Drosophila melanogaster: one gene and its partners. The protein of the gene in region 1 purifies or fractionates together with the protein of each later gene. This does not show direct contact. Each region holds a gene or a part of one and is shown on either strand. Other genes may lie near its edges. The genes, in order: Iswi, CG8677, Caf1-55 and Nurf-38.

The links.
Region 2: the proteins of Iswi (region 1) and CG8677 purify together in Drosophila melanogaster (affinity purification with western blotting; one study listed by BioGRID). This does not show direct contact.
Region 3: the proteins of Iswi (region 1) and Caf1-55 purify together in Drosophila melanogaster (affinity purification with western blotting; 5 studies listed by BioGRID, with this or other methods). This does not show direct contact.
Region 4: the proteins of Iswi (region 1) and Nurf-38 fractionate together in Drosophila melanogaster (co-fractionation; 4 studies listed by BioGRID, with this or other methods). This does not show direct contact.

The regions. Positions count from the first base shown.
Region 1 is NT_033778.4:12,633,455-12,642,755, reverse strand, and holds Iswi (imitation SWI), read right to left. Parts: upstream 6,086-9,301; 5' UTR 5,975-6,085; exon of another isoform or gene 5,913-5,974; 5' UTR 5,814-5,912; coding exon 5,766-5,813; intron 5,703-5,765; coding exon 5,485-5,702; intron 5,418-5,484; coding exon 5,163-5,417; intron 5,102-5,162; coding exon 2,986-5,101; intron 2,927-2,985; coding exon 2,766-2,926; intron 2,705-2,765; coding exon 2,419-2,704; 3' UTR 2,128-2,418; downstream 1-2,127. Other genes in the region: CG8785 (uncharacterized protein), read left to right, coding at 595-716, 773-1,733; CG33672 (uncharacterized protein), read left to right, coding at 6,672-6,932; Mvk (mevalonate kinase), read left to right, coding at 7,330-8,502; spt4, read right to left, coding at 8,602-8,720, 8,787-8,949, 9,011-9,079.
Region 2 is NT_033779.5:21,219,371-21,227,280, forward strand, and holds the start of CG8677 (uncharacterized protein), read left to right. Parts: upstream 1-1,941; 5' UTR 1,942-2,181; coding exon 2,182-2,416; intron 2,417-3,065; coding exon 3,066-3,247; intron 3,248-3,307; coding exon 3,308-3,757; intron 3,758-3,821; coding exon 3,822-7,052; intron 7,053-7,259; coding exon 7,260-7,910. Other genes in the region: Atg18b (Autophagy-related 18b), read right to left, coding at 890-927.
Region 3 is NT_033777.3:15,224,018-15,231,033, forward strand, and holds Caf1-55 (chromatin assembly factor 1, p55 subunit), read left to right. Parts: upstream 1-1,558; 5' UTR 1,559-1,875; coding exon 1,876-1,897; intron 1,898-1,948; coding exon 1,949-2,509; intron 2,510-2,619; coding exon 2,620-3,329; 3' UTR 3,330-3,547; downstream 3,548-7,016. Other genes in the region: CG31344 (uncharacterized protein), read right to left, coding at 1-370, 725-917, 1,066-1,129; Art3 (arginine methyltransferase 3), read right to left, coding at 3,634-5,162, 5,227-5,248; mRpS10 (mitochondrial ribosomal protein S10), read left to right, coding at 5,745-6,010, 6,080-6,335; CG34316 (uncharacterized protein), read left to right, coding at 6,601-6,821, 6,880-7,016. UniProt on the Drosophila melanogaster protein: Core histone-binding subunit that may target chromatin assembly factors, chromatin remodeling factors and histone deacetylases to their histone substrates in a manner that is regulated by nucleosomal DNA.
Region 4 is NT_033778.4:24,556,931-24,564,506, reverse strand, and holds Nurf-38 (nucleosome remodeling factor - 38kD), read left to right. Parts: upstream 1-3,419; 5' UTR 3,420-3,446; coding exon 3,447-3,654; intron 3,655-4,096; coding exon 4,097-4,215; intron 4,216-4,281; coding exon 4,282-4,677; intron 4,678-4,732; coding exon 4,733-4,884; intron 4,885-4,942; coding exon 4,943-5,052; coding exon of another isoform or gene 5,053-5,084; exon of another isoform or gene 5,085-5,355; intron 5,356-5,374; coding exon 5,375-5,406; 3' UTR 5,407-5,540; downstream 5,541-7,576. Other genes in the region: CG11414 (uncharacterized protein), read right to left, coding at 1-194, 262-1,480, 1,538-2,101, 2,165-2,310, 2,369-2,647. UniProt on the Drosophila melanogaster protein: Component of NURF (nucleosome remodeling factor), a complex which catalyzes ATP-dependent nucleosome sliding and facilitates transcription of chromatin.

The DNA of each region.
Region 1 (9,301 bases):
TAAATCAAGCAAATGTTTCTCGGAAAGTCCAAGTCACCGATCATCCATTGGTTATAAATAAAAAATGCTAGCGTACTCTATAATTTAGCCACTCGAGTTAGCAGATTTATGGCATTTGGATTTTGACAGTCATTTTGGAACTTCTCAAGTGCTTAGCTGCGATCATTTAGATTTACTATTTTTTGATATATATTCCTAGTTAAAAATGTTCTTAATTTGATAAGCCGGCTACTTCCTCACTTCAACTTCATTTGATTTACAATTAACATATGATGACGTAATACTTTATAATCGCTTTCCGCTTAGGGAATAATAAACTGCATCCTCATAAGCTTTAGATTATCTCTAAAGTGGAAGTCAAGTCTCTAAGATTAATACTATATCTTAATTTTGAAGTAGTATTATTTATTTAGACTTAAAACTTAGTGATAACCTTAGCCTATTTGTTTAAACTGCAATAAATTTCTATTTGATTAATGGAGTAGAAGCTTAGAGTTCAATAAATTGCTGTCTATATTATAAATCACCTTTTTCAATGCTTTAATGAATCCTATTAACTAACGACGTTCCAACATTTTTTATTCATTCTTGCAGGTTAAAACTTCGCATGACATTTGCAGGGATGCCAAGGTTTCGGCTCTGGGATTTGCTGAGACAGCTGAGAAGGTCTTCGAGTACGGACCCAAGGGAATGCGACCCTACTCGAATTTCGCCAAGTGAGTAAAGCTTACAGGAGATGATCCCTAATGCTAATCTATTTAAAAATCTCCAGGCAATTTGTGGATATCGGACTGATGGCCACCTACTATGCTGCGGCATGTGTATATATCGTATTTATTGCGACATCCTTCCACGATGTCATTAACTATGATTTGAAGATCAACTGGGATGTGCGTATTTACATTGCCCTAACCGTGATCCCCTGTCTGCTTATCGGTCAGATCCGTGACCTGAAGTGGCTGGTGCCATTCTCCATGATGGCCAACATCTTCATTGTGGTCACATTCGCGATCACGCTGTATTACATGTTCGACGAGCCGCTGGTTTACTCCGACAAGCCACTGATCGCCAAGGCTGCCCATATTCCACTCTTTTTCGCCACCGTGATCTTTGCGATGGAGGGCATCGGTGTTGTGATGCCCGTGGAAAACTCGATGAGGAAGCCCCAGCATTTCTTGGGATGCCCCGGCGTGCTTAACATTGCTATGGTCACTGTGGTCTCGCTCTATGCCATCATCGGATTCTTTGGATATGTGCGATTTGGCGACCAGGTGCGAGGCAGCATCACGCTGAATCTGCCGGAAGGCGCCTGGCTGGGCGATACGGCCAAGCTCCTGATGGCCGTGGCCATCCTGTTCACCTTTGGCCTGCAGTTCTATGTGCCCAACGAGATCCTCTGGCGCAAGATCAGTCACAAGTTCAGTCCCGAGAAGCACAATATTACACAGATTCTGCTGCGCAGCGGCATTATCCTGCTTAGCGGTGGTGTAGCTGCTGCTATCCCCAACCTGGAACCCTTCATCAGTCTGGTGGGTGCCGTGTTCTTCTCGCTGCTGGGCATCTTTGTGCCCAGTTTCGTGGAGACCGTCTATCTGTGGCCCGACCGCCTGGGCGTGTGCAAGTGGAAGCTGGTCAAGAACATCTTCCTGGGCGTGTTCTCCATTCTTGCCCTGGTTGCTGGTGCCGTCGCCAGCATCAACGAGATCATCGAAATGTATAGCGACGACGACTAAGGATTCGATATGTATGGGTTCAACCTTCAAACAGAGACGTAGTATTACACTAGATGCAGGTAGCTCCAACAATGGAAGCGCGATGAAAGACAAGTATGAGTTCAAAAAGCAGGCGAAGCCCACATTCACATCAGACCCAACTTATGGCCATGTTGAACATGGTCAAGCGGCTCGGATGCCAAATTGCCGATGCCGTTGACTGCATGAACAAGATGATATTAAGTTTAAGTGCCCTGTTACACAAACTAAGCAGCAATTCATAGAATTTATATATGTTATTACGTTAAGTTGCTCAGCATTCCAAAACATAAAGCGAACAGTACCAAAACATTCAATATGTCGCCTTTTACTTACGGGGAATCCACCTCTGAATATAAAGTGAAACAATCTGTATGCTGTGTTGATTTATATAAATATAATGATTATAGTCTTAGAACACAATACAATTATTTGGAATAGAATACAGCGGCACGCAATAGTAATGTAGTCGGATGTGTAGGCGGGTGTTTAAAAAAACTTCAGATTTTGGGGGTGGGGTTGGTGTGATATTGCTTCCGGCGTGAGATATGAACTATTAACTATATAGAGTAAAATATGTTTAAGTAATCGCTTGTCTTAACTATTTAACTGCCTAGTGCTGAGTGTAGAGCCGAATCTCAGAAAAATATCTGTTTGCTTTGTCGCTTTACTTCTTCTTCTTTTTCGAGTTGGAACTGGTTGCCACCACCTCGCTCTTCCGCTTTTGACTGGCCTTCGGTTGGGGCGCGGGTGCTGGAGTGTTCGAGCTGGCACTTCCACTTCCAGCGGACACGCTGCCCTTTGGTGCCTTTTTCTTTTTCTCGGCGCGTTCTTTCTCTTCCAGCTCAATGTTTTCACGTTCAATAAGGGTAATCAACGTGTTGCAGCGACGCTGTAGCTCCAAAGCGGTTCTAGATTTGATGAACCAGTCAAAGCGGAATTGCGGAGAAGCTCTGTAAGAGAACGGAAATGTATAAGGGGTTTACTCATATTTAAAACCAAGTTTTTGCTCACCTTATAGCCGCTCGCAGCTCTTCGTAGACATTCTCCTTGTCAAAGCCCAACTTGTGAAGCATGCATACCAGAAAGCGATCCTCTATTTCAGTGTAATTCTTGCCCTTGTTATTACCATATTGCAGCCGCAACTGATGGAAGGGGGCGCGATACCGCGACATCTACAACAAAAATATATTCATATATATTAAAGATACTCTACAGAAACAATGCTAACTACCTTTTGATCCAAAGCCTTCTTAATAGACAATCGCCGTTGAATCTTGCCCTCTCCACGCTCAATCTGTCCCATTATTCGCTCAATATCCTGCAACTCAGTGCATCGCTCCCAAAACACGGCGTTGTACTCGATAACCTCCTCCGGAGTCTTGCCCTCCACGTCCTTGGCAATGTTGTCAATATCATCCCGACCGTACTTTTCGTTAGCCTTGATGAACTGGTTGAAATCGCGCTTGGTCCAGGCAGTGAAACCCTGTGAGAGTAGATTCTCCTTCTCCTGGATCTCTTCCTCGGTAAGCGGCTCTGCCTCATCGATCTTGCGCTGCTCCTCGCGCTGCACTTTGGTGGCATCCGATCCTAGTTCCGTGTTCTTGGGCACCTTGTAACCAACAGTCTTGCGGAAATAGTAGATTTCCTGGTCGAGCAGCTCAAACAGACGGGGTGGGAAGAACTGAAAGTCCTGAACGATAGGCTGCTTGGGTGGGCGGGGAGCCTTCGGTGCCTTGGGTTCGGAGACACGGAGAGCCTCGCGGAAATAGGCATCCACAGCATAGTTGGCTTTGCGTTCACGCTTCGGTGGCTCGATCCAGTTGCCCAGCGCATTTAGCTTTTGCTTCTCGCGCCAATCCTCACCCTCGAATTGATATACGGAAGAAGTTCCTGCCTCGCCGTTTGTGTCCATTGTGAACGTCCGCAGCGAACTCTCGCCCAGACTGTCCAGTGCTGCCTTTTGCTCGGCCGTCTTGGCCTCACCGCGCTCCAAAATAACATCGATGTCCTCATCGGTAATGTCTGTCTCCTTAGAGCTGAACACTTGGTTAGCTCCAAAACGGATTATATTAAGCATTTCATCCTTGTTCAACTGATTGGAGCGGTTGTCAACCAATCTGCCCCCCTGGATGACCATCTTGTCCAGACGGAGCTTGACCTCTGCTCTCTCCACGATCTTCTCCTCCACTGTACTTTCGGTGATCAGCCGGAAAACGCGCACTTGCTTCTTTTGACCAATACGATGAGCACGATCCATAGCTTGCAAATCCATTTGAGGATTCCAATCCGAGTCGTAAATGATGACAACATCAGCGGTAGCCAAATTGATACCCAAACCACCGGCTCGGGTGGACAACATGAAGAGAAACTTGGCGCTGTTGTCCATGTTAAATTCCTGAATCTGCCTGTTACGATCTTCGTGCGGCGTCTGACCATCCAGGCGGCAATAGTTGTAGTTGCGCCAGTGACAGTAGTCCTCGAGGATATCCAACATCCTCGTCATTTGTGAGAAAATCAACACACGCGATCCCTGCTCTTGGAGCTTGGGCAGCAGCTTGTCCAGAATAGCCATCTTTCCGGAGTTATACACCAAATGCGTGTCCGTGGTGTATGGCGGACCGGGCTCGGCGCCATCAAACAAATATGGGTGGTTGGTGCACTTGCGGAGCTGCATAAGGATGTTCTGCAGTCGCATCTTCTCCACTTTGCCAGCACCGTTCACTACATCAATGTCCTTAAGCAGCACCTTGGTGTACCAGTCGCGTTGCATCTTGGATAGACCCACAAATATTTTCATCTCCTTCTTCGGCTTCAGACGCTTCTCCACTTCGGCCTTTAGACGACGGAGCAGGAAAGGTTTCAGCACGGCATGCAAACGCGTAATCAATGCATCGTCACCCAGGCAGGTGTTCGTGTTGAACCATTCGTCAAAATCCTCTGACGAATTAAACACATCGGGCAGCAGGAAATTAAGCAGGGCCCACAGCTCGTGGAGGTTATTCTGCAGCGGAGTACCCGTGATAAGTAGACGATTAGCGGTCTTAAACTCTCGCAGAATCTCCGACAGCTTCGACTTCTCGTTCTTGATACGATGCGCCTCGTCGATGACCAAATAGCGCCAGTTGAACTTCTTGAATACAGACTTCTCGCGGATACACATCTCATAGGAGGTCACGCAAACGTCCCACTCGCCAGGCATGAGCACATCTCTAATGAAGGTGTTACGGGTGTCCTGGTCACCAATAAGGCAGACGGCTCTGAGGGAAGGACACCACTTTTTAAACTCATTTACCCAATTCTGAAGCGTTGACTTTGGCACGATGACGATGTGTGGTCCAGCTTGATTTCTGCACGCAAATATGGTATTTAGAGATTTCTTTAAAACAATAGATGTTTATGAAAACTCACTTGAAATGCTTGAGGTAACCCAGCAGAGATATGGTCTGCAGGGTCTTTCCTAGACCCATTTCATCGGCCAGAATTCCATTGATACCATTTTCGTAAAGCGAAATCATCCAGTTAAGACCGCGAATCTGGTAGTCACGCATCTCTCCACTTTTGATGTAGGCGGGTGAGGCATCGAAGCGAAAGATCTCCTTGGTGGCCGAGTCTTCCGCCAGCAACTCCTCATCCTCCTCCTGCTCTGTCTTGCGATGACGATGACTGTTTAATACAAAAGTACACCAATAGATAAAGTAGTTGGCTTTTTTATAGGGGGAGTTTAACTCACTCGGCCACATCCTTTTCCTTGTCCTTGTCTTTGATCTTCTTGGGTCTACCCTTAGGCTTCGTGGGACTCTTAGCGCTGTTAGTCATGAAGTGGGTGAATATCTCCGTCTGCTTTAGCAGGAAATCAAAGCGCCTACTGCGATCAGCCTCGATTTTGTTGTCGAACTCAGCCTCCTTTTCACCGGATGAACTGGTGGCCGCATCTGAAGTCGTCTCGTTCTGGCAGAGTTCAGAATATATGTATAGAAGTCCTTAGACAAAGCCTGCTGTATATTAACTTACCGAGTTCTCTTCGGTTGCCTCCACGGCAGCTGTATCTGTTTTGGACATATTTGCAATGCCGGCGTCTGTCTCTAAATGAACTTAATTTTTCCACAAATTTCCCCTCGCCAATCAAGCGTGCTGCACACTGGTGTCGTTTAATGTGAACTGAAAATCGAGTGTGCAACCTGTTAGTTATACTTTCAGTATATAAATAAAAGGCAATTTACACAAAACAATGTTTGTTTCGCTTAAACAAATTGTAAATAATTACATGCGATTTTTTTTAATGAATGGTGGGAAATCTGCGCGTGCTATCGCTAGATTATGCGATGAATGCGCGAAGTTGGCTGCGGCAGCGACGGTGGCGGCAAACAAATCGAGAATACGAACTATCGATAGTTTTGATGGATTACTATGAATGGCAGCACTGGCCGTGTGCCGTTATTATTAGTTTTAGACAAAGCCGTTATTCTGATTAATCAAATAGGTTATCTTTTTAAATTGTTTGCGTTTGTTTAAAAATTATTGCCTAATGTTTAAGTTTGAGATGATGGAATATAGCAGGAATCGAAAAGTCTAATGGGGTCTCATAATATTTTAGAAATAAGCCCTGTGGTGGAAACTGAATCTAAATATGACAATATGTACTACATCGTTTTAGACTTGAATGGCTGCCCCAAACTATATGAACAAAGACAAAATCTGTTAAATTACTTAGACAACCCCCATATTAAAGTATTTAATAGATATATCGCAAGAAACCCCCCGAAAAAGAACATTTAAAATGGTGCTAGGTGTGGCCAAGGTCAGCGCAGATAGAAAAACTACCACCCGGCTTATGGAAAACCTGTTTTTGCCTGAAGCCCAATACGGTCACACAACCACTCCATCACCTCGTTTCGTTTGAAAAAAAAACCATCCAAAATGAGTAAATACGACTCAAAGTACCTCGAGGAGAAGCTCAAACGGGAACTGCAGACGGAGTACGTGAGTGTTACGGACGAATCAGACGGCTGTGGCGGCAAGTTCAGCGCCGTAATCGTATCGCCAGCCTTCAGCGGCAAGACCCTTCTCCAGAAGCATAGATTAGTTAACTCAACGCTTGCCGAAGAACTGAAAGAAATCCATGCATTCTCCCAGAAATCCTACACACCCGAAGAGTGGGAGAAAGTGAAAGCCCAATAGTAGTACCGAATAAAAAAAAACCAACAACACACATACATATACACGAGCGATACAACAACAGCAAACACTAGCCGCAAAAACCTGTTGTTCGTTTTGCTGATGGTTGCGCTTTCCGATCGAAGAGACGAACAAGCCGAAAAACGCCAGTCGCACAAAGAAAGTGAAAGGGAAAGCACAGGAATCGGCAGCCAGAAATAGGAGTTACCGAATAAACAACGCAAATGATCCACTAAATGCATAAGTTACATAAAGAAATACAGCCATAAAAGTTTAACTACTTGTCGCAGGTCGTCCACTCGAAAGGCATTAGCATTACAATTCGAAACAGCTGATAAACCGATAAAGCCATAGCCAAACGGAATACAGAACACACAATACACGGAGATCATCAAGAACAATGCTCAAGTTCCAGGTCCATTCTCCGGGCAAGGTCATACTCCATGGCGAACACGCCGTGGTCTATCATCGTCCCGCCCTCGCCGCCGTAGTGGGTTTGGGCACTACTCTGAGATTTCGGCAGCTGGAGGACAGCCAGGTGGCAAGTTTTCAACTGGAGGCCCTTAACTGCACACTGGAGATCCAGTTGCCGGAGTTCAATGGATTTTTGGCTGAATTTAGGAGTAAATACCCATCAGATAGCACGGCCAATCTGTTGGAAGCCGTCCGCGCAGAGGTGTCCAAACAACTTGAACGATCCGGAGGCAATGCACCGAAGCAGCACACCCAGCGGGCATTCATCTCCATATACTATTTGCTGGCCGGCGCTGTACTCTCCGCACCCGGCGACAAGAAACTGACGCTGCAAACCGGTTTCCAGGTGCAGGTAGACAGCCAGCTAACCGTGGGTGCGGGTTTGGGCAGTTCCGCCTCTTTCGGAGCAGCTTTGGCCACGACATTTCTCATTTTGGCCGGACACTTTGATAGAGACAGCTACTTGTCGGAGGCAAACCAGGCGTTGATCTCGTCCTGGGCTTATGAATCGGAGCGTGTTAATCATGGCACGCCCTCGGGTCTGGACAACACTGTATGCACCTACGGCGGAATGTTGCGGTATGTCAAGGGCCAGGGCTTCCAGTCGCTGAAGATCCAGAAACCACTAAACATCCTGCTGGTGGACAGTCGTGTGAGTCGCAGCACCGCCGACATTGTGGCCAAGGTTCGTCATCTGGGAGATGCCTTTCCGCAGCTCATCGAGGCCATTTGGCAGGCTTGCGAGGAGCTTGTTGCCGCCGCCGTTCCACTCTACGAAAGCTTTGGCAACGCCCAAGACGATAGCTCGAAATTCGAGCAACTTGAACGCCTGTTCCAGATCAACAATGATCTGTTGAAGGCTATCGGAGTGTCGCACCCGAAACTGGAGCAAATCTTCACCATCGCTTTTAAGCGTGGCTTCTTTTCAAAGCTGACGGGCGCCGGCGCAGGTGGCTATGTCATCGTTCTGCTTCCAGAGAACTACGAGTGCAACGAGGTCTACTGGAAGCTTAAAGAGGAGCTCGAATCGGCGGGTTTTGGTGTTCATGTTACGACTGCCGGCGGCGAGGGATTGCGCGTTAGTTCGCTGGATGACTGATGCGGTTTCGTTTTGTATTGCTATTGTATGTATTCGTGGTTTTGTTATAAATTAAAGAATAAAGATTTATACATGTATTTTGTACGGCAATCTGTTTGTTTATCGTTGACTTCTGTCCCGAGATTTGTAGACAATTCCACGATTCTTCATGTCACGTAAGGTAGACTGCGGCAGTGTTCCGGATACAGAAATGGCATAGATACCACGAGTAAAGCGGGCTAAAGGAAAATGATTTCAAATATATCAGTAATACCCTTTTGGAACGGAAGTCATTCAGGCCTTACACAATCTTTGCCACTTGGCCACCCAGGAGTCGGTGGGCGTAGTTAGGGCAATAATTCCGTCAAAGTTGTTGCTAGTGTGATCATAGACATTGTCCTTGTTGTTTTTCATTCGCAGGAACTCCTCGCAGTTTTCACAGCCATCAGTCTCAAATTGATCAAAACTCTGCGGGCGATAAATGATTTCAATGAAAATGTGTGTCGAGTCTGGGCAAAATATAACCCACCTTCACTAGGGAGCAAACGAGGCAGGCGCGAAGTCCTCGCAGATCCTTGGGTATCGCGTCAAAGGCCATATTTACTTATCAATTATGGGTTTAAAACTAAAAATACAAAATCCGTGCAAAACCAAGCCACGACACTGACAGAGTGACCGTACTCTAAAATTTTCTTGAATCTACGATATCGATGGGCGCCGGTTACACCCGACAAAAATTGTCAAAAGAATTTTCACGAAGCTAACCTTTGTATTAAAACGTGTTTTAAAAGTGTATATTTCCTTAGCAGCTATATGAATT
Region 2 (7,910 bases), on another chromosome or scaffold:
CATTTTAAATTTGTACATTGCTGATAGACTTGAGACTTGAGTTTTTTTTTTTAAAACTACAGAGTATCGTAGGAAAACCCCCAAAAGATAATAGCCAATTGTTTGACTTGCGTTTTCGCGTACATTCACCCGTGCTTGATTTGTTACTGATTGGAAATCTCTCTTTTGCTTTGTTTGAGCTATGACAAATTTTTCAGATTATATTCTTTTCGATTCGATTTTCACCACAAATAGTCATATTGATGTTTGCGTTTCTTTCTAAGGCTTGCTCGCACTTCTTCCCTCACCCTGTTCTTGGATGACATCAACGTACCGTGCAATAGCGAAACTGGTTAATTAAGCTCGAGATTAAGGCTGCGTTGATAGCTACAGTGCGCTCCCGCCAGATTGACCCCCTTTGTTTCTTGTCATTTTATTTCATCCTTATCGCTCCGCACTTTCATTTGTTCCTTAGTCATCAGCTGTTGCGCATAAACAATTGATTGTGCGCCAATTGTGCGAGTGTTGGTGTCCCGCACAGTGGCCATCAGAATGGAAATACTGCTAAATCGGTCGCTTGTTGGCCACTGACAGTGTACCGAGTTCGGTTCCCAGCCCCCTCCCGAAACGGGAAAGGCATTCCAAAATGTTAGATGAATGCATGCTATTGTAATTGGAACTGCTTGTTTGCATGTTCTAATAAACTACACACACACACGACACGAAAAATGACGCCAATTCACGCTTACCCACAGACACACTAACGATCCCCGTCCACCTTCCCCACAGCAGCTGTTTTCGCCTTATTTACCCGTCTCATTTGTCGATTTTTGTGTCTCAATTGTTTGCCACTTTTCGCTTTGGTGACCTTCCGGGATTTAAGGATTTAAGCACAGATGTCGCTACTTACGTAAAGTCCTGGTTGAAGTTCATTTGATATGTGGTCATTGCTGCTGAAGATTTGTGCTTTGGTGATTGTATTTTTTTTATATAGTTACACTTTCACTGGTCTTTAGATGCTTTTTTTCAGCGATATTCAGTTGCAGAGTCCCGTCGTTTGAGTACACAAGATATTGATCGACGATGGCAGATGAGCAAAGCGAAATGATTTCACTTGATATTGAAAACTAAATTCGACTGTTTTGCGTCGTCTTTGTTGTTTTGCTGCGACTGTTTTTCTCGTTCTATCTATCAACAAATTCCCCCTACACACAACACACACACACATAAATCATCATCATTGGAACTGGGTTCGGGAACTGAACCAGCCGTGTTCACCAAATGCCATATATACCGTTAAATCATTTGTGTAACGGAAAATGTAAAATTGTTATTAAAAATTGAAATGGACAATATATATACATGTATCCGCATATATTTGCATTGGAAAAATCATAAAATTACCTCATATTTCACACAATTACAGTGCATTTAGTGTGTATATGTCAGTTTCATTTCTTTTTATATAAACATTAAAATAGTTTTTTCCAATAAGTATCTACAATTATCTAAGTGTTGTGTCAAATTTTCTATCAAATCGGAACAAAACAGTGGACGTGTTAAGCTTCTTATAAGGTTCTTCTGTCTTAGCAAAATTGTATTTCCCATAATGTATTTCCCTACTTCAACTTGATCTACACTAAAACTTTATACCTTTTGTTCCTAATTTATATTATAACCTATATTGTTCGTCGATTTAATAAATTTTGCATAGCCTATTTAATAGTAAAACAATTTTTAGATTTGTAACATTTAATACACATTTCATAGTCTAGCGCTAACTTAAAAATAAAACTGTCTTAACGCGAATCTGAGTAAGTTATAAATGTATTCGTAGTTTGTAAAAATCGTTTTCATGCATACGCCAAGTATACTAGAAACTAGTTCCCCAGTGCATCGACTGCCAACTCGCTTCAATTACATGGGTGCAATCTGCAGTATTGTCGAAAAGTGACTGCGCGGCCACACTGAAACTCACAACAGAAAATAAAGCATTTTCGCTTGCTTTAAAATAGGATTTTATCCCGTACAAGAGCTGTCTCGCGGCAAGAAATATGCACCCTCGAAGTCTCGCAGTGCCGTGCGACCAGAGAACTTGATCCTTGGACAAATGACTCGTGTTTGCAGTGCCCGTTTTGAGGTTTTGCCAGAGTAGTATACAACACCCGAAAATTTTCGCTGGTTCTCGGGGACGCATGAAAAATGGCGGCGTCCTCAGCTGCGGCTGCGGCGCCCACCAATCCGATCCCGCTTCCGACGGACTCCATATCGGAGGAGTGCAAGGACGACGACGCCCTCACCTCCACGCTGCACACATGCGCCAATGATCCGGACTTTGCGGTCATTTGCGCCTTCCTGCAAAAATTCGGCAAGGACCTGGGTCTTAACCTGCCCAACTTCAAGCATCTGCAGGAGTGGTTGACAAACAACAACGATGGTGAGAGGGTGGGGTGGTGGTATCAAGAGAGCGGGGTGGAAGCAGTTTTTTGCCAAATTAATTTATGTCAGGTTCAATTATCGTGGGGCAAGTGGCGGTGGAAACTACGGATGTAGTGTTTTCGAATAGGTCTGCTCCAGAGATTTAACAATGCTCCGCTCTGGAGAGCGTGCTTGGCTCGTCAGAGAGAAAGAGATTGCTCAATGGCAGAGAGAGCACTGCGATTTGTTTTCATCTCAACACAAGCGCAATATACAAAACAAATCTGGGAGAGACGTAAATATTTCCCACATTTGCTCTGGTCTTCTTATTTGAGAGATAGTAAGAGAGCTACAATTGAACACTAAAAGTTGGTTTTTTTTTTTTAATGTACACCTGCATCTGGAAATATATTAAATATTTAGGGTCACGAGTGGGAGGGAACCTGAAAATATATTTGTTTAAAAAAGTTATAATCATGCTAAGTTTCTACGTTTTGTATGTATTTGCGTGAGCAACAGCAGACACAAAAAGTGTACACTACAACAAACGCGGTTGCATTTATTTCACTTGCCCTCATAATCCACCCACAATCCATTTATATTCCGCTGTCACTTTCTTCCTTTTCGCAGAACTTTTACTAATATTTAATTATAACGAATCTTTGTAGTTCCTGAGCTAAGGGACTTGCACATAAAGCTGCTCCGTAAGACCCGTAAGACGGTTCACGAAAAGAGTTGGGAGTCCGCCCTCAGCAAATTCTGCTTCGGCTACTCGGTGCAAGATGCCTGGGAAATCGAACGTTTCGGTTATAGGAATTCCAGCTTGAAGGTTAAGCTGCGAATATTTCGGGTGAGTAACGAATTTCGTACCACTTGATAAACCGTTCTAAAGGGCGTCTTTCCCGTACAGGAACTTCTCGAAAGTCAGTTTGAACGCAATGCCAAGTTTCGGGCCCACATCCTCACCTTGAATGCCGATACTTTACGCTCTGAGCCAATTGGAAGGGACCGGTTGGGACATGCCTACTGGCTGACTCAGGATGCCCACTGTAATCTGCGGATCTACCAGGAGCATCTAGACGAGGAAATTTGGCAGGTGGTTGCCACGAACAGGGACGAGTTTGTAAATCTCATTTCAAGGCTGCGCGGAAATGAGGTGGTACTTCCTTCGAAGGACATTGGTGAGGCCGATGAGGACACCAGCAGCAGCAACAGTTGTCATCCCAAACCACCGCCCCCCGAACAGAAAGAAGAAGAGGACGATGAGGAAGTTGGAGATGAGCCCGAAAAAACTGTACCCAATCTAAAGATTAAACTCCGCTCTCCCGAGCAAGAGGATCAAAAGTCTAAAAAGGTTAAGGTGTGTATGGATTTAACCAAGGAGCTTTGCATTTTTAGATAAGATTTCATTCTCGGTCTTTCAGCCACTGCTCATTAGCCAGGCCAAACTTTCGAGTAGCGCATCGCCGGCCCCAACCAAAAAACGTTCTATCGAAGACGTAGACAGCAGCCCCACAGCCTCCCAGGAGGAACAGCAGAAGAAGCACCGTCCCACACTGCTTGATACAAAGCGAATCAAAAAGCCAAGTCGCTACGAAAGCACTAAGGATGAAATCGAAGAAGAGTCCGGAGAAGAGGATGAGGAAGAAGAGGACGAGGAGGATTCTGAATTGGATGAGGGTGAGGAAGAGGAAGATGTCGATAGTGCGGCGGCGGATATCGAGGAAGATGACGATGAGGAAGATACTGGAGAGCCTATAGAGGATCCAACGATAGTGGTGCAGGGCCAAGGATCAGGACTTGACTGTGAAGCCATCCCTTATAATTTAATTGGCAACTTTGATTATGAGGATGACTTGGAGATCGGGGAAGCCATTGCAGATCCAATGCTCCATGTGATTGGTCAAGGGTGGGGGACCGACTGTCTCGTGGGGAATGGTAAAAACGAAGCTTCCGTGGAGGAAACGTCAACGCGCACATCGGAACCAAAAGCGACGTTCTTTTTTGGCGAGCCCGGATGTCTCAAGCTAAGTCCCATGAAGCAAACATCAAAACCAGAGGCAAAACGGGGCATTTTTGACAGCTTGAGCGAGGAGAAAACAAATGGTGAAAGCGAAAAGTGTATAGTGAACACACCGCCCCGAAATGGAAGCGAACTCACAAAAACTCTGGGAGATAGTGAAGAAACAGCATCTGCGAGTGCAGCTACATTAGAAGAGACTAACATATGCCAAGAAGCTAACGTAAATAAAATCTCAGATGATCAAATAAAAAAAAAGGAATCCGTACCAGTGGCTAAAAGGAATATACAGGATAGTACAATAAGCGTGATCGAAAAGAATGAGGAAATCTCTAAAGGTCGTACCGAAAGTGAGGCAATTGAAGAAGGAGTGAGGAATAGGACAGAAGTTTCAGTCTTACAAAATAATTCAAATGAAAGTGATAACTCCTCTATTCAGACTCAGGATCAGCATAAAGTTCCAGCTGATCTGAACAATACAAAGAAACCAGTAACAGAAAAATGCGTCCTGGAAAGCGGTACAGTTGAGGATAAACTGGTAATAAATCATCAGCAAATTTCGACAAATGCCTTGGACACTGCATGTGATGAGAAACTTTCGTGTGAAACAGAAAGCCCTGTACCTAACCAACATGATTCCAAAATGAAATCAGAACAGGAAACGGCAACGAGCGCTAAGGAATCAGTATCTGAATCTTCTCCAACGGATGGGGAAGATGAAACAGCAAAATCGAAATGTTTGATTGACCCTTATGCAGGAAAAACCAATGATAAAGGTATTATTATAAATAAAATTGATAAGGCAGAAGGGGTTATTAAAACCTTGCTTCAAGATGATCCACCTAAAGATATTTCAAAAAGCGAAACGAATACAACATGTCTTGAAATCAATATTTCGCCATCTGCAGAACATAGGATTTCGGAAAAAGTTCAAACCATAGAACCAAGTACATCCCAAAACTTACTTTTCGAAGACAATGGAAAATCCGGAGAGGTTGACGGTAAGTCAAGGACGAGTGGTGCTGTTGAAGAAATATCTAAGACATCTACGTTATTAAATCGCAAGCGGCGTCTTAATGACTCTCAGTCCGCTCTACGAAACTCCACCTCCGAAAGCGAAGTGCACGAAGAGGAACCGCAAGATGACGATCCTACCCTGGACGATCTAGATGTGGGCGGCAAGCGCATTAAAATGAGACCGAAGACCACTAACGCGGAGTCCAGGCGAAAGGTGGAGGCTCAAAAAACGCAGATAGAAGAAACTACTTCGTCCAGCGGAGAAGACGATGCGCGTATTCGCCGCAAGTGTATAGCTCCTCACACTAAAACCAAGCCCACTCTGGAGGAAATTATTGAAAGAAAGTTAAAGAAAAGTATAGAGATGGATTTGCCGGAAAAGACAACTGAAAAAGTAATGGAGATGCCAACGCAACTGATGCAGAAAACTAGAGAAGCTACACCGCCCATCATCTCCTTAAGTCCGCAAAAAAAAACACCGATAACCAAGCCCCTAAAGAAAAATCTCCTGACACAACTACGACAGGAGGAGAGTGAAGAAGAGACCATACCAAGAAAACGAACAAACAGTGAGACCCTCGTGCCTGCAATTCCAGCATCTAATGTACTTTGTCAACCGGACGAGCGTCATCGCAAGCGTCGTAGCAGTGAGGATGCAAATGAGGCGTTTTCGAAGGAATCCTCCCCTACTGAAGTGCCTCCGTCAGCCGTAAGCGAGAAGTTGAAGCGCAATAACGAGCAGGACATACAGGAGGAAGTCGAGGACCCACTTGCAATGTCTGTCAAGGATTCATTACGTTCAGCTAAAGACCAATCGCCTGTACCGGAGGGATCTGCCCGTCGTTCTGGTCGCAGAGGTGGACCTGCTGTCATTCACTCTGAGCTTCCTCAGCCAAAAAGGACTCGAGGTGGGGCCAGGGATAAAATGCAGCCAGAGGTCAATGCTGAGCTGAAGCAGGAATCCGAAGATGATGAGAAAATTTCAACCAAAATAAAATCTGAAGCTAAAGACGATCCAGCCCCAGAAAGCCCAGAAAATAGAAAGAAACCTGAGGAGAAACCCATCAAGGAAGAGCCCAACGAGGAGCCAAAGCCAAAGGTGGGTCGTGGACGTGGGCCGAGAAAGAAGCGTGAGGTGGATACTACCAATATCATTGAGACCAACGACTCGGAGACACCTGTGCGCCAATCTAGGCGCATTGCCCAGCAGAAGATCAAAGAGGAAGCTGAAAGGCGAAAGCAAGAGGAGGTTGCTCTACGTACCATGAAACAGGAGCTTAAGAAAAAGAAAAAAGCCGAGAAGGAAGCAGATCCTACTGTGCTAGAACCATCAGGAGAAGAATCAGAATCCGAGGCCAGCGAGGCGGAGGAGGAGGCACGTAATAAGAAGAAAAAAAAGTGTCCTGGCAAGGATGGCTGGTCTTCCGATTCAGAAGAACAGCCAGAAAGTGAGGAGGAGGAGGAGGAGCCACCGCACTATGAAACGGATCCTGGTTCGCCACTCTTCCGGTCCGATCACGAATTTTCACCAGAATCGGAGCTTGAAGATGAGTCTCAAGTGGTGCCAATGAAAAGGGCGCGCACCGTACGGAAGGAGAACGCCGATGACCTAGAGGAGGTAAATATTAAAAATGTTAATTAGAAAGCATACAAAATTGATTTTGTTAGCTTTCCCGTTCTGAATGTCTATTCAAAATAGAAGAAACTATTTCTTGAGTTATTCCTTGCATTGTTATTGTACCCGTTATAATCCAGAATGTGTTTTATATCTTAAGTGGTCACTAAAATCACTATGCAGTAACATTCATGCTGATTTATTTTACAGGAGGATGCGGAGGAAGCTTGTCAGAAATGCGGCAAGTCTGACCATCCGGAGTGGATTTTGCTCTGCGACACGCCTACCTGTAACAAAGGATACCACTGCTCCTGCCTTTCACCAGTGCTCTTCTACATTCCTGAGGGCGATTGGCACTGCCCTCCTTGTCAGCAGGAGCAGCTCATAGCTGCCCTGGAGAGACAGCTGGAGCAATACGACACATTGGTAGCTCAAAAGCAACAGGAGCGGATCTTGGCTGAAGAGCAAGCCGAGCGAGAGCGTCAGGAGCTAGAGGCGGCCACGCTGGCGGCGAAGGACGAAAACTTCAAGAGCGAAAAGGAAGAGGACGAAGACGATAGGGATGATATGGCAGTCGGCAAGGCTGAAAAGGTAAAGCGGCGTCGCGGAGATGGACGCATTAATAGGAGAGCTGCCAAGCGAGGCACCAGGCGCCGTCGTGGAAACGAATCTGACTCCAGCCACCGCAAATCCTTAGGCAGTGGCTCTAGATCCGGATCTGGATCTGACTCAAGTAGCGACAATAGCACTAGCTTTTCTGACTCGGATGATGAACCCATATACAAGTTGCGCAAGCGGCGGCAAATCAACGTGAGCTATCGGCTTAACGAGTATGACGACCTTATCAATTCTGCTTTAAAA
Region 3 (7,016 bases), on another chromosome or scaffold:
TTTCAGCTTTATGCGATGTGCGCCCATCGTTATGAAGCCAATGAAACCGAACTGCGTGAGCGCCAAATCCTTCTGGGTGATCTGTCCAGCTCCTTGGCGGGCGCACGCATGACTGGAGCGGCTGTGGGCCCGCCTCACGGCCGCAATGCTGGTCCAGAACCTGCTGCCACGGTCCGCGATGTTGTGGTTATACCAGGCTTGCGTGTGGAATATAGTACGCACATAGCGACGGTAGGCGGTGAACGCTGTCGAGGATTGGCGTGTGCACGACAGCACCCGGAGAATGGATGGAATAGCCAGCACGGCAATAAGACCAGCCAGCATTCCGGCGTTCATTACAAAGCGATACGTGCTAAAGTAGCTCTGACCACTGCAAGGAAAAGGAATAAAGAATCAATTAAGTAATTCGAATGCAGTTATATTATTTAAATTAAAATATACATATACATACATGTACATATACATATATATTGTTAAAAGTAAATGTATGTCGCCTTTTGTTATTAATATGTAAGCCCGTAGGTACAAAATTGGAATAATGAGCACAGATAAAGATAAGTATTATATGCTGCCTTTTCGCATTATTATTCACATAGCAAACTGCTACATAACTCCAAGCTTATAAATAACCCATGTGTATATGGATATTGTAATTATCACAATTATTTCTACTGTGGTTACTGGGCTAATATGCAATCAGTGAACAATTAGTCACGCAACTTACCGCCTGAATAGCTGCTCATCGTACCACGAAGGTAGCTCCAAATCAGCACCGCTGTCGCCCTCCTGACTGCCCTCCTTCATTAGGTGCTCCAAGTAGTCCTCGGGCTCCTGGTGATCCTGAAGCAGTTTTGAAGCCCCCGCTGCATTATGACCATCTTTGGAATGCGATGACGACTGCATTTTCCCACTGATCCCTGGAAAGTGACGTGCGATGTAGAAAACGAGCTTGAGGTCCAAATTCGGATTACACAAGTGAAAGAAAGAAAAGACAAACAAAATCGTCGGCGCGCCAAGAGAGAAAGTTTTTCATTCAACCCGCCAACAAGTCCACTGTGCACTTACACGTTTCACGCTTCGCGGGATGGGGGATCTCGGATGAGCTGCTGGTACAACCATCAACCTGCATGTCGGCCAAATTATTGCTTGTTAAACTATTTAGCAAACTCAATAGTTCAGCTCGTTACGTGCAAAAACATTTTGCATACACAATTGGAAAAAAAGCGTTGAGGATGAATCACGGCTGCCCACCGTCGTTGCGGTTGGGGAACTTAACTGCAACTGGCACGTTAGGCTCGTCAAATAAGAATGGAAAGCCGGTCATTGGCGCGTAAACTGGTTTCGAATCATTCGCACTGATAACGAATTAAGTAGTAAACTTTGTTTATGCACTTTAGTGTGCCCGCAACTGCAACCGTTAAAATATACCTTTTAAAACCCCAAATATATCGATGTAAACCACAAAATACTAAAATCATGACGCAGGAACGTAACAAGTATAAAAATACCGCGCAGTGTCATCTCCATAACTCTGTTATCGTTATCGTAATCGAATATGGCAGTCGTCTCGACAATCTTTAGCATTGCATCTCTATCATCGACGACGCGCTTGCAAAAAAACGAAGGAAATTAGCCAATTTCTATTTTGCCCTGACGTTACGCCGTTTAAAGTGTAAGTTCCCGGCCAGGATTCGACTCAATCCCTGCCACAACGACTTTCGGTCAAGTGTTCGTTGCGAGAGCTTTAACTACGTAGCGAACTTTCGTAGTTTTTCTGCACACGTTTTGCCGCTTCGGCTTTTGTTTTGGCGCCCGATTTTTTCGGCTGCCGACTTTTGACGCAGACTGAGAAATTGCGTGCCTAAAAGCCTCGAAATGGTGGATCGCAGCGATAATGGTAAGTCCGGTTAGAAGTTAATCGCCGCAATGTGTAACCATCGACCTTTAGCAGCGGAATCCTTCGACGACGCCGTCGAGGAGCGCGTGATCAATGAGGAGTATAAGATTTGGAAAAAGAACACGCCGTTCCTGTACGATCTGGTCATGACGCATGCCCTGGAATGGCCCTCGTTGACTGCCCAGTGGCTGCCGGACGTGACCAAGCAGGATGGCAAGGACTACTCGGTACATCGTCTTATACTGGGCACACACACATCTGACGAGCAGAACCATCTACTCATCGCCAGCGTTCAGTTGCCCAGCGAGGATGCCCAGTTCGATGGTTCGCACTACGATAACGAGAAGGGCGAGTTTGGAGGCTTTGGATCGGTGTGCGGCAAAATCGAAATCGAGATTAAGATCAACCACGAGGGCGAAGTGAACAGGGCCCGCTACATGCCCCAGAACGCCTGTGTAATCGCCACCAAGACGCCGTCGAGTGATGTCCTGGTCTTCGACTACACGAAGCATCCCAGCAAGCCGGAACCGTCTGGCGAGTGCCAGCCTGACCTGCGGCTGCGCGGTCATCAAAAGGAAGGCTACGGACTCTCTTGGAATCCCAACCTCAATGGTAAGTGCGTAGCTGTACCTAGTACTTATATATTAGCTCAGATAAGAGCTTGACACATCTAAAATGCATTACGTTTTAACCCTTAATGAACATCTTGATTGTCCTTACAGGCTATTTGCTGTCAGCCTCTGATGATCACACCATCTGCTTGTGGGACATCAATGCCACACCCAAGGAGCATAGGGTTATTGATGCCAAGAACATCTTCACCGGCCACACCGCCGTTGTTGAGGACGTGGCTTGGCATCTGCTACATGAGTCTCTGTTCGGATCGGTGGCTGACGACCAGAAGCTGATGATCTGGGACACGCGCAACAACAACACCTCGAAGCCCTCGCATACAGTGGACGCTCACACAGCGGAAGTCAATTGCTTGAGCTTTAATCCCTACTCGGAGTTCATTCTGGCCACGGGCTCCGCTGACAAGACTGTAGCTCTATGGGATCTGCGCAACCTCAAGCTAAAACTACATTCCTTCGAGTCGCACAAGGACGAGATCTTCCAAGTGCAGTGGTCGCCGCATAACGAGACTATTCTCGCCTCCTCCGGCACTGACCGCCGCCTACACGTCTGGGATTTGTCCAAAATCGGCGAGGAGCAGAGTACGGAGGATGCTGAGGACGGACCACCCGAGCTGCTCTTCATCCATGGCGGTCACACTGCCAAGATTAGCGATTTCTCGTGGAACCCCAATGAGCCATGGATCATTTGCTCCGTGTCCGAGGACAATATTATGCAGGTCTGGCAGATGGCCGAGAATGTTTACAACGACGAGGAGCCAGAGATTCCCGCCTCCGAGTTAGAAACCAATACCGCTTAAAGCATCTGTTCCGCCTCCTATAATACACACCAAACTACAACTGAATCCGATAATGTTTTGGCCGTGCCCCGTGTCCAGCTATCCAGCCTAAATGGCAATGGGTACTCATTTTAATTTATATATATTTACATATTTTTAAAAACAAAATTTAATTAAGCTCTCATTTGTCAGCAGATTGTACAATCTATGAATTTTTAATTAAAAATGATTAAAAAGTCAAGAAATGAGGTTAATTTTTTTGAAATTAAATACCAACTTAGATCTTCAAGCGTATTTTATTTAATTCTATTCAAAAAGAAGCACATTAAACCACATTGTATTTGTGTTTCTTGCCAAAGACTTCTATGTCCACACTAAGTCCTCTGACATCCTCTTTATGTCTTCTTGACGTGATTTTCCCACAAATGACGTCTCCTTCCTTCACAACCTGCGGGTTCTCGATGAAGAAAACCGTTTGCTTCCAATGGGTGGGCGTCGCAGATGGTGATGTGCTGAACATGACGGGGGAGGGTAGTTCAAACAATGTTTCAAAGTAACCGACAAAGGCGGATAATCGTCCCGGCTTCGTGACCTTTAAGCTAAACTGGTGAGTAAAGTTTGGATAGTTCATATCGACGGTCATTATGTCGAAGTTAGCTATCTGTTCGGGTTCCGTCAGCATGAACTCTGCATCCACCACCTGCATGAGTGGCTCCTCTATTGATTGCTTTCGCAGATCGCTCATGTCGACCTCGTAAACGTTAGACCAGAATTCCACTTCATCGGCATAAAGCGTGTCGTCTCCATAGCCCAAGAGACTGAGTGTACAGCGACTGGGCAGTATTATGCCATTGGGGTTGAGGTGATTCTCGCGGGCGTAGATAATGCTGTCCAGCATTGATTCGTACAAAAGAAAATAGCCCATCCATTCGGATATTATAATGTCGTATTTAGTCTCTGGGAGATCTGTGTCCTCCAGCCGTCCCTTGATCAGTTCAACATTCTCAACCTTGTTCTTCCTGATGATATCCATGGCGGTGTACACAATGTCCGAGTTATCTATGCCGACAACGCGAGCTGCACCCGCTTTGGAGGCGAAGATGGATAGGATTCCCGTGCCGCATCCCACATCCAACACTGTCTTGCCCCGAACAACGGCCTCGTTTTGGAGCAAAGACGCGCGATAGGTGCTGGTCCGCACCTTGTCGCTGAGCATTTCATGGTGAATGCCAAAGTGGGCGTAGCTTTTGAAGTATTCGTTGTCGAGACAAACGTTGTTACGCGGTACGCTCTGGTCGGAACCTTTGGGCTCGCCGTCAGCATGTACCTTTTGCAGCAGCGCCTTGTAGTCGTTGCGCATGCGTTCCATGTCCTCGTTGGCCTGCTGCAGCAATTGCGACTGCTCAGCAATCCGCTGTTGTAGCTCCAGAACCGAGGGCTGCGTCGGAGCGCCGTCTGTTTTAAGGACTTCGTAGTCATAGCAGAGCCAGGGCTCATACTCCCCGGGCTGGAGGTACTTCTCATCCTGCCAAAGCGGATGTTCCGCAGACAATAACTGCTCGGCACTGATCTTTTTGGCTCTTATGTAGTTTATCAGTTTGATAAAGGAATACTGGTCCATTTCGAATTTACGCTGAAGCTGGGACAGATTCACTTTATGCCGGGCGTCAAGATGGTCAATGGCCACCGAGATGTTTGCAGATGTTTCGGTGCAAAACAGACAAGTGGTTAGCTCATCGCCTTCGTCCATTGGCTCATCATCGTCATCTATGTCATCGTACTCATCTTCGTCGGAGCTGGAATTGGCCGGCACCTCAGGTGCCTCCTTCACGGGCTCCTCCTCTGTGGTGTTGTCTACATTGGGATGGGATTAATAAGTAATCATCTCCAGGAAATAAAAGCTTTTACGGGCTCGAACCGTTGACCTCGGTGTCTTTCATGCTATCTTTGTTTGCAAGTCCTATTGGCCTGCTTTCAGAGAAAAGAATTCAAATCGCACGACGAAGATCACAAATTTATAAATGCCAACTAAATGGGGTTTTGAGCGGCGCGAACACGTGCGGAAATTTGGAAACGAAAATAGCTTAACGCGTTTTGGTATACTTGAAATGTTGCTTTAGAGGGTATCGCAGGGGATATATGTTATAGAATAACTTTCGACGACATTGTAAAAGTGAAATTATGTTTACGCTGATATTTTAACAAATTAATTTTCTGCTTGGAAGAAGTAGGCTTAAAGAAAAAAATTTACATTTCATTTTTATTACAGGGTAGGTAAGTAACTATAGACTCACAGAAACATTTACACTACGTATGTAGTATTTTTCAGTATTTTCGAAAAGGCGTTATAAGCAGTATTGCGGCTGCCGCACTTGCATAATTCTAGGTGTAAATACAGTTTTTAATATGTTACAGGTATTTAGATCCCATATATCAATGAAAATGCATATGAAACATCTAGATTTATATTCCCAGGCTATAAAGACGCTCCGCTGGACACAGCCAATGCGGGCTCTGTCCACGGTAAACACCAGTTCCGGCGTACAAGGCAATCTTTCACCTGCGGCACCTGCTCCGGAACCGGATAAACTCTACAGCAAGCTGGAGATTGAGCTGCGGGGTATTGATCCGGCAGTTCTGAAGAGCTACACCTGGTTTGCTACTACTGCTGCCGAGCATTTGGGCATTGAAAAGGGAAAATGGTAAGAGGTAAAAATCCTCCGGTAAAGGAAATCTCTAACATACATATGTGTTCGTTAATCCTCATGCAGTTGGTCACCTCGCAAGGCGCACCACGAGCGGATGACGCTCCTGAAGTCGGTGCATATCTACAAGAAACATCGCGTACAGTACGAGGTGCGAACCCACTTCCGCTATATGAACTTCCACAAGTTGACGGGCTCCACGCTAGATACATTTCTAGAGTATATTGAACGTAATCTGCCCGAGGGCGTAGCGCTGCAGGCTTCCAGGACTGAGCTGCAGGAGATCCCAGAGCACTTGCGCCAGCCGCCGGAGCAAGTTTAGCCGAAGCCAATACTACAGTAGACCTTAGTTATTAAAAGTTCAGTATGAGCTTAGATTGCACCAGCAATCCGCACGGTAATCGGCCGTACTCGGGCCCCGTCCGCGATTAGCAAAGATAAGTTTTTGGCAGAATATTGAAATAAAAGTCGTATCTTGACACACACGATGGGATCCACTTGAAAAGTAAGCAAACAAAATCAGGGCGGGCGAACGCTGGCATACCAGTAGCTACTCCAAACCGAACGGAAGCGAATCAATCAGCAGAATGCAGCGGGCAAAACTCACTTCACAGGTCCTGCTGGCCACAGCCATTCTCTACGCATGCCTGTCGCCCGCTGCCTGCGTTTACGAGGCGAAAATCTTGGCGTTCCTTCAGGAGTTCCGTATGCGCATGTGCCACCCAATCCCGAATCTAGGCCTGCCCGCATTGGACCCACTGCAGTTGGGGCCTGCTGAAACAGAACTGAACAACAAATACCTCGTGGAGTAAGCAAATGCTGTAATATGTGCGCTTAGAGGCGTTACAAATTCATTTGTTTTCTAGCTTCACTGGGTCCATTGACAACTTTCAGTTGCACGGATTGTCCGATTTTGATGTGCCTGCGCTCAGCTTATCCCCGGTGCCCGGTTTGAAGAACACCATTAACGTTACCTTGCCACTCACGTACTTCAAATCCTTAT
Region 4 (7,576 bases), about 12 Mb from region 1:
TGCTTACTTATGTCCGGCAGCATGGCCAGCAGCTCCGGGAACAGGTTGTAAAATGAGCTCAACATGGCGCACTGGCAGTGCTCGTAATAGGCTTGGCCAGAACAGGATCCGTCGCGGAACTTAGACGAAAGCAAGCGGAATTCGTTCAACGCCTCTGGGGTCTTGAGCAGGGACATAACCTCATCAACCAATTTCTGGACGCAAGACAAATGCTTTTTAAGTTAATGTTTTCTAACTAATTGGCAAACGACGTTAGCTTACCTGATTCCTGACCTCGGTATCTGGTGGATCGGTGTACGTATAGGGGCTGGGTACAATGTCATACGACTCGCCCAGCGAATTGGTGAACGTGAGATTGTTGGGCAGCTTGGCCACCGAGTTAACAGTCACGTTGGACACGAATCCTGGTGGTGGCTTTAGCGGTCCGCCAGGTTTTAAGCCGGGAGGAGCACGTATTGGCGTAGACGGAGCCCCATTGGTTTTTTGTTCGTTGTTATTATTTCTCTCCTTCGGTTTGGCCGTCTTAGGCTGATTCTCCTGGTTGCTCTTTTTATCCTTCTGCTTTTTATCCTTTTTATTTGCCTGCTGCTCTTGAACATTGTTGTTGCTTGCCTTGGGAGCAGGTTTCGATGTTGGACTCGGCAGAACCGGGGCCGGCGCCACTTTGGCCTTGCGATTCTCCAGCTCACGCTGCTTCTTCTCATTAGCTGGTTTCGACCAGTTCAATGAAGGAGATCCACTGCTGGGCTTTGGAGCAGTCGTCCTGCTTGAGCTGGCGCTGGCACTCGGTCCGAGGCTAGGGAATTCCGCCGCAGTGAGTTTGGGAGCACTCTTCTTCAAAGCCTCCTGGCGCGCTTTGGCCTCGTCCTCCTCCTTTTGTACCATTTGAAGCTTTTGAAAGGTGCTCGGGCTAGCCACTGACACGTAGTCATCGGCTAGAGACCGATGCTTAGCGGAGATGTTCGCCATCGGCACTGGCGATCCGCTAGGCAGCATATCCTCCTCCAGGTTGCGCAGATTCTTCTTGTTCCCCTTACCCGGTAATGCAGGAAAGTCTACCTGCGGCGTGGCTGCCTTTTTGGGCACGGCTGCTGATCGATTTGACACATGCAGGAGCATTCCGTTACCGGGAGGCCCACTTCGACTGCCAGAACCTGCCGCGCTTGTGGGTTTCTTAAAGACAGCTGCCACGGGGTGCTGCGATTGAGCAGCCCGGGCGGCAATGCTGCTGCTAGTGGGCCCAGTAACACCACCTCCATTTCCTCCTCCCAGAGCCGGGAAGTTTTCTTTGGTCCGAGCAAGACCAGAAGTTCCACTAAGATTGCGCATCGAGGGCGGTGGCGGTCTCACCAAGGATACGCTGGGAGCTGTGGAAGCGCCTCTCAATGTGGGAAACTGTTCCTCGTTGCCAGCATCAATGCTCACATGGCGCTGGGTGATCGAAGGCAAATCGTTCTGGTAGTCGTTGTGCTCGTCATTCCTGTAAGGTTTACCATTCTAAGAGTGCCTTCTTCAAATTGGATGGCCGCTCACTCACCTGGTTCTCACGCTGGTTATGCCCTGCTCCGTCTGCCCACTACGGCCACGAGGCCCCAAAGTGATCTCCACCTGCAAGGTGCGCGTCTGCTTGGCCTGCTGCTTGTTGAGCGACTTGCCGTGCACGTTGGCCACGTGCGCCTTGTACTCGATTTCGTTGCGGAATGCGCCGACAAACTGCTCGGTGGCGCACTTACCCTCCTCGCAGAGAAAGTGCTCCGCCCGGAAATGTTCCGCCAGATCCGCATAGTCATTGTAGAACTCATTGCAACCATCGGCGTCGCAAAAGTGGCAGAAGTAGTGCTCGCGGCGCAAATGACGGAACAACTCATCACGGTCCACATAGCGTTTATTGCAGTATTCGCACAACGGATGACCGCGATGCGACCGATTGTCCGGATCGCCCTTGGTGTTGTGTAGCTGCAGCTCCGCCTGAGTGTAGCACCTCCGTTCGAAGGTGAAGATATTGAGGGTCTCGACGCATAGGTCACAGTACAGAAGTTTATGCTCGCTGCGAACATGGTTGCGAAGGCCCTCGAACGTGCGGTATGGAGGTGCATCGCATCTGCAATTTAGCGTAGAAGGGTGAGCCTCAATGGTGCAACTCAAGTGCGGGCAGAATACTCACTTCGGGCAGGGATGGTCGAGCAATTTGAAGAATTGCTGTCTTATCTCTGCGGTGCAGAAGCCGATGCGGTACTTCTTGCTGTATAAATCAGAGCGGTTATTTGCCTCCAGTTCGCGATAGGGCAGCTTGTCCAGTGTGAACAAAACCTGCAAGTGTTTTAGAATTAGATAGAGATTCGGTTCTCTAGACAAGCGCAGGACTTACCTTGGACAGGACGTGGCGGCAGATGGGGCACTCGTTCTGCTGGCAGAGAACCCTCATCCGAGTGGAGCACTCGTAGCACACGGGATGATCACAGTCGCCGATGGAGAAAATTTCCACGTTTTTGAAGCACACCACGCAGGCGTTGTCGTCGTTGCCCGTATAGCTCTCCAAGGCCTCCGGCTTGACAGCAGCGTTATCAGTGGTGGTGTTGGCCACTCCGTCTTTGGGACGGCGGTGGAACGACGGCCTGGCCGAAGATCTCGGTTTTCCGTTCTGCATTTCACTAGAGATTTTGCAGTGAATGGAGGGGGGGAATTTACTTGTTGCCACGGGCACTTGAAAATGTACGTGTAACGACTGCTTTCGGATAAAAGCTGGGGTTTCTTGGATCCCCCGGTTTGTTTACTCTTTTGGAATATCTCGTCAGCAAAATAAAGGGGAATTTTTGCAACGCCAACTCGAAAGCAAGGCAACACGCACACACGACAGACGAAAAGAAAACTCAGAATTTAGAAAACTCGATTGCCAATGTTATCGATGACACTGCTCGGATCCCCGATAGCACCGATAGTTCCCAGTTGGAAGCTTTGTTAATGTTAAGTTAACATGACCAGAATTCGGACAATTTCGCAACGATCAGTAACCAGTACAAGTAAAACCTATTGACTTCGAATTTATAAAAAATTCAATCACTTATATGAAACTTTTAAAATATTTCTAAGTGCTTCTTCTGCAGGTATGAACATATTCAAAGCATATTTTGTTTAAGTTTTTACGATTTGACAAAAACTAAATAATCTTTAAGGTTTTGATAGTTGTCTTATTTATACTGTAAATAGATTTGTATAATAATTATAATTACAATATTGTATTTTATATTTAATAATAATAATTATAATGTTATAGTTTTCATATAATAATATTTATAATAATAGTTCTAATTGTATGAAAAAATGAAGTTCATTCTCCATTGGAATGGATGAAATGGAATCGAGCTATACATTTTCTGAGCAGCACTGTTAACTGTAAAATCGGGTCCTATCGCCCTATCGATAGACTCAACTCAGGGCTGAAGAAAATGTTGGCGAAAATTACAAGGAGTTCATTTTACGCTTCACGTGCGGTTGGTCGCTTGTCCGGCTCGATTCCAACGTCACCAGCGGCCCTTGCCAGCAATTGCAGATATATTCAGATAGAACGGAAGCGCACGAAATCACACGAGATGGCTCTGTACGAAACCGTTGAGAAGGGCGCTAAGAATTCGCCGAGCTACAGCCTGTATTTCAGTGAGTAGAGTAGCGCATTGGGGGCCAAATGTGAATGTGACCCGGCTTAACCCTTTGCTTGCGCATTTGCAAGTTACCCAAACTCGGTGCAGTTAATGCACCTAGAATTAGTTGATCGGTACCGGAATGGTTATGCAACAGGTCAAACCGGACTCTGCTTATTTAACTCGACGCATTATCAGCACTATCAGCCGATCCGATTTGTCTTGCGTCGGAAATGGCGGAAACACCAAGAGTTTCGGCCCCTTTGGGCTTATCTCTTTCCTTTATTAGCCCATATTCCGAATAGCAGATATCGAAACTGGTGGCTGAATTTCGGTTTACTGGCACGCAAATTAGTGACCTTTGTCTAGCCGACAGGTCCCCGGTCACTATTAATCAAATCGCGTGTCCAGGTGTCGCCCATATATCAGGCATAATAATTTCTGGCCATTCTCCACAGAAAACAAGTGCGGCAATGTCATCTCGCCGATGCACGACATTCCACTGTACGCCAACGAGGAGAAAACTATCTACAACATGGTGGTGGAGGTGCCACGTTGGACCAACGCGAAAATGGAGGTCGGTCTGCCTGTCCCTAAGATTCATACTTCTGAATAATACAAAAATTGCATGTCTGACCCTTAGATTAGCTTGAAGACCCCTATGAATCCCATCAAGCAGGACATCAAGAAGGGTAAGCTGCGGTTCGTGGCCAACTGCTTCCCGCACAAGGGCTACATCTGGAACTACGGAGCCCTGCCCCAGACCTGGGAAAACCCCGACCACATCGAGCCCTCCACCGGCTGCAAGGGTGACAACGATCCCATCGATGTCATCGAGATTGGCTACCGAGTGGCTAAGCGCGGCGACGTGCTGAAGGTCAAGGTGCTGGGCACCATTGCCTTGATTGACGAGGGCGAAACCGACTGGAAGATAATCGCCATCGATGTGAACGATCCGTTGGCCTCGAAAGTCAATGATATCGCCGATGTGGACCAGTACTTCCCGGGTCTGCTTCGTGCCACCGTTGAGTGGTTCAAGGTGGGTGGAATTCGATTTTCGGACGATTCCCTCTCTTACCCTTTGCATTTCGCAGATCTACAAGATCCCCGATGGCAAGCCTGAGAATCAGTTTGCTTTCAACGGCGATGCCAAGAATGCGGACTTTGCCAACACCATCATTGCCGAGACCCACAAGTTCTGGCAGAACTTGGTGCACCAGAGCCCCGCATCCGGGTCCATCTCCACGTGGGTTAAATGCCATTTTATACATTTACAATTAATCCTAAGTACGTCCGTTTCGCAGCACCAACATCACCAACCGCAACTCGGAGCACGTCATTCCCAAGGAGGAGGCCGAGAAGATACTGGCCGAGGCCCCCGATGGCGGCCAGGTCGAGGAGGTGTCTGATACAGGTAAGGTTCACTATATTAGATCGAACTTATAGCTGCTTCACCCGATCCCAACCAAAAACACACTACTCCAACACACGCTTTAACCACCAGTAACTTGCAAACAAATTGGTTACACAAACACAACCTGCACGCTTACTAATAGCTACTTTAATTGTCCAGTTAGCAAGCTAAATTGAGATTACTCCATGCTGTAAATACTGCTGAAACCCAATTTATGTAATTGGCTTGCTTGCGTTCGTTAATCGTTGTACATATACTTTATACTGAATGTTATCCTGAAATAAACCCTTTTTATACCAATTTACGTCCTTTGTAATTGCAGTCGACACTTGGCATTTCATTCATCTCAAGTGAGATGTTCTCCTGGGCTGATTCCATCACAAGATCCATGATCTATCTGTAGTCCAATCGAATCGAAAATGCTTGCACTTGTGAATTATTAATACTGAAATATTATCGTACGTTGAATAAAGTTTTGCACCGCAATCAAATTCGCTGTCGATTCCTCTTGAAATATACAATCTTTATTTATATTTTACGACTAGATCCAAACAAGTTTAAATTAATTAAAAGTTATGTAATTGTAAGGCATTGCAATACTACATAGAATCGAATCGAATTATGCCGTGTGGTGTTGCTCAGATGTGATTTCCGTTCTATTGCAGGAGAGCATGTGTGGGAAGGTGTGGAACGTAAAATTTATTGCCGTAACAAATTAACTTAAGCTTACGAAATAAAAGAAATGTACAAATCAGTTAGGCGTTATAAATATGTATAGAAATCTTTAAAAGAAGACAAAAATAGTTATATACATCAGACATTTTGATTCTTGTTCGTTTGTTCGTTCGTTTTTTTGTTTGCTTGTTTTTTTTTTGTTTGTTTCTTCTCATATTTGATTCTTGGCATAACTTTTTGCTTTCCTTCTGCGCGAAGAACTAAAAGAAATAAGCATAATTTACGTAATTCACTACAACTAAAAGCTCCACGAGACTGTTTCATGACAGATGATAGAAATAACATATAGACCAATTTAGACTTTCCGATATAAGTGCGGATAAGTAGCGTGTAATAGTTTAGTAATTGTCTTCATAATTTTTTTTTCAACATTTTTGCTCTGCTTTCTCTTGTAGCTAGATGTTAGCTTAGTTGTTTCTTCAAGTGGTACACATTCCTCGGGTCGATCGTTTCCTGGTTGCCATAGTTTCGTGCCGTGTTCTGCCACAGTTATCAATAATAATAGTTTTAGTTAATAGTTCATAGAATTAAGTAGCTGCTCGTGCCAGTGACGGTGCCAGAAAATCCCAGAGAATCGCACTTTACTTGCGACCCAGGGTATCGCGCCATTCGTTATACTTGTCCATCTCCTCGTGCAGCTGAAGAGCCTCTATGCAGGCGTTGAAGAAGGGCGATCCGAAGCATTCTTGCCTGTGTTCAAAAACAAAAGGAGGAGGAGGAATTAGGAAACCTGATTTTTTTTAATTTGGTGTATAGCTTGCTCAGAAGAAAAAAGAGCCAAAGTTCAAAAGCCATATTCAGGTATGGTTGAATATATCACAAAAATTATTGTTCTCAAAATCTTGTTCTGTTTGTTTGCTCAAAAAATACGAGCTCAACAGTTCGAGGATTATTGAGGAATTTAACAAAAAGTAAAGCATAGTTGGTCAAATTTTTAGCTTGAGTGCTAGTTAAAAGCCAAGAATGCACAAGGTCAAAAATCAAATAATTAATTAAAAACAAAAGAAAATTATAACGTACCAAAACAAAAACGGTAAGCAGGCGTTTTTAGTCGCGCCAGAAACGCGCGCAAATCGCCAGCTGCAGTCTGTCTGTCTCTGTCGCCTTCTGTATGGCGGTCTCTTTCTCTGGCGGTGTCCTGCGTCGCGCATTCGCATTCTAATTCTCATTTATCACAATTTTGATGCTCTCAAATAGCCAGCGAATGATTGATTATCCTTTATTAATTTACAGGGTTTTATTAATTATGTATTATTTATTGCCACATTTGTAATGCAGTCGTTCCGTTCTTCGCGTGTTTTTACCAGGTTTTTGTTTGTGTCTTGCACAAATTGCGATCTTGCGTTTCTCTCTAATATTTAGCATGTGTGTAGGGTACTCGTATTCGGATATATGTAAGGCTTTAGCTTTAGATAGGTATGCATATACTATATACTATATAGGTAAATACATATCTCCGTTTTGCGCCAACAGATTTACACTAATTCAGGGTTTCATCTTTACAAAATAGCACAAAATTGTAAGTGTAATACATTTGCAAAATACTTTCGGTCTCGATTGCGGTGTATATATGTGTGTGTGTGAGTGTGTGTGTATGTGTGTATGTGTGTATGTGTGTGTTCGTATGGGTTTATCTTTATCATTGTAGTTTTGCCCTTGCGGAAAATCGTGTAAAATGTAAACTCTAAATGCTGATTTTACAGTAGAATACAGATACAAAAATAAAAGTTATCATTTTACATTACATAGATTAAAAACAATGGATTTCGTTTTGTTTATTTTATATACA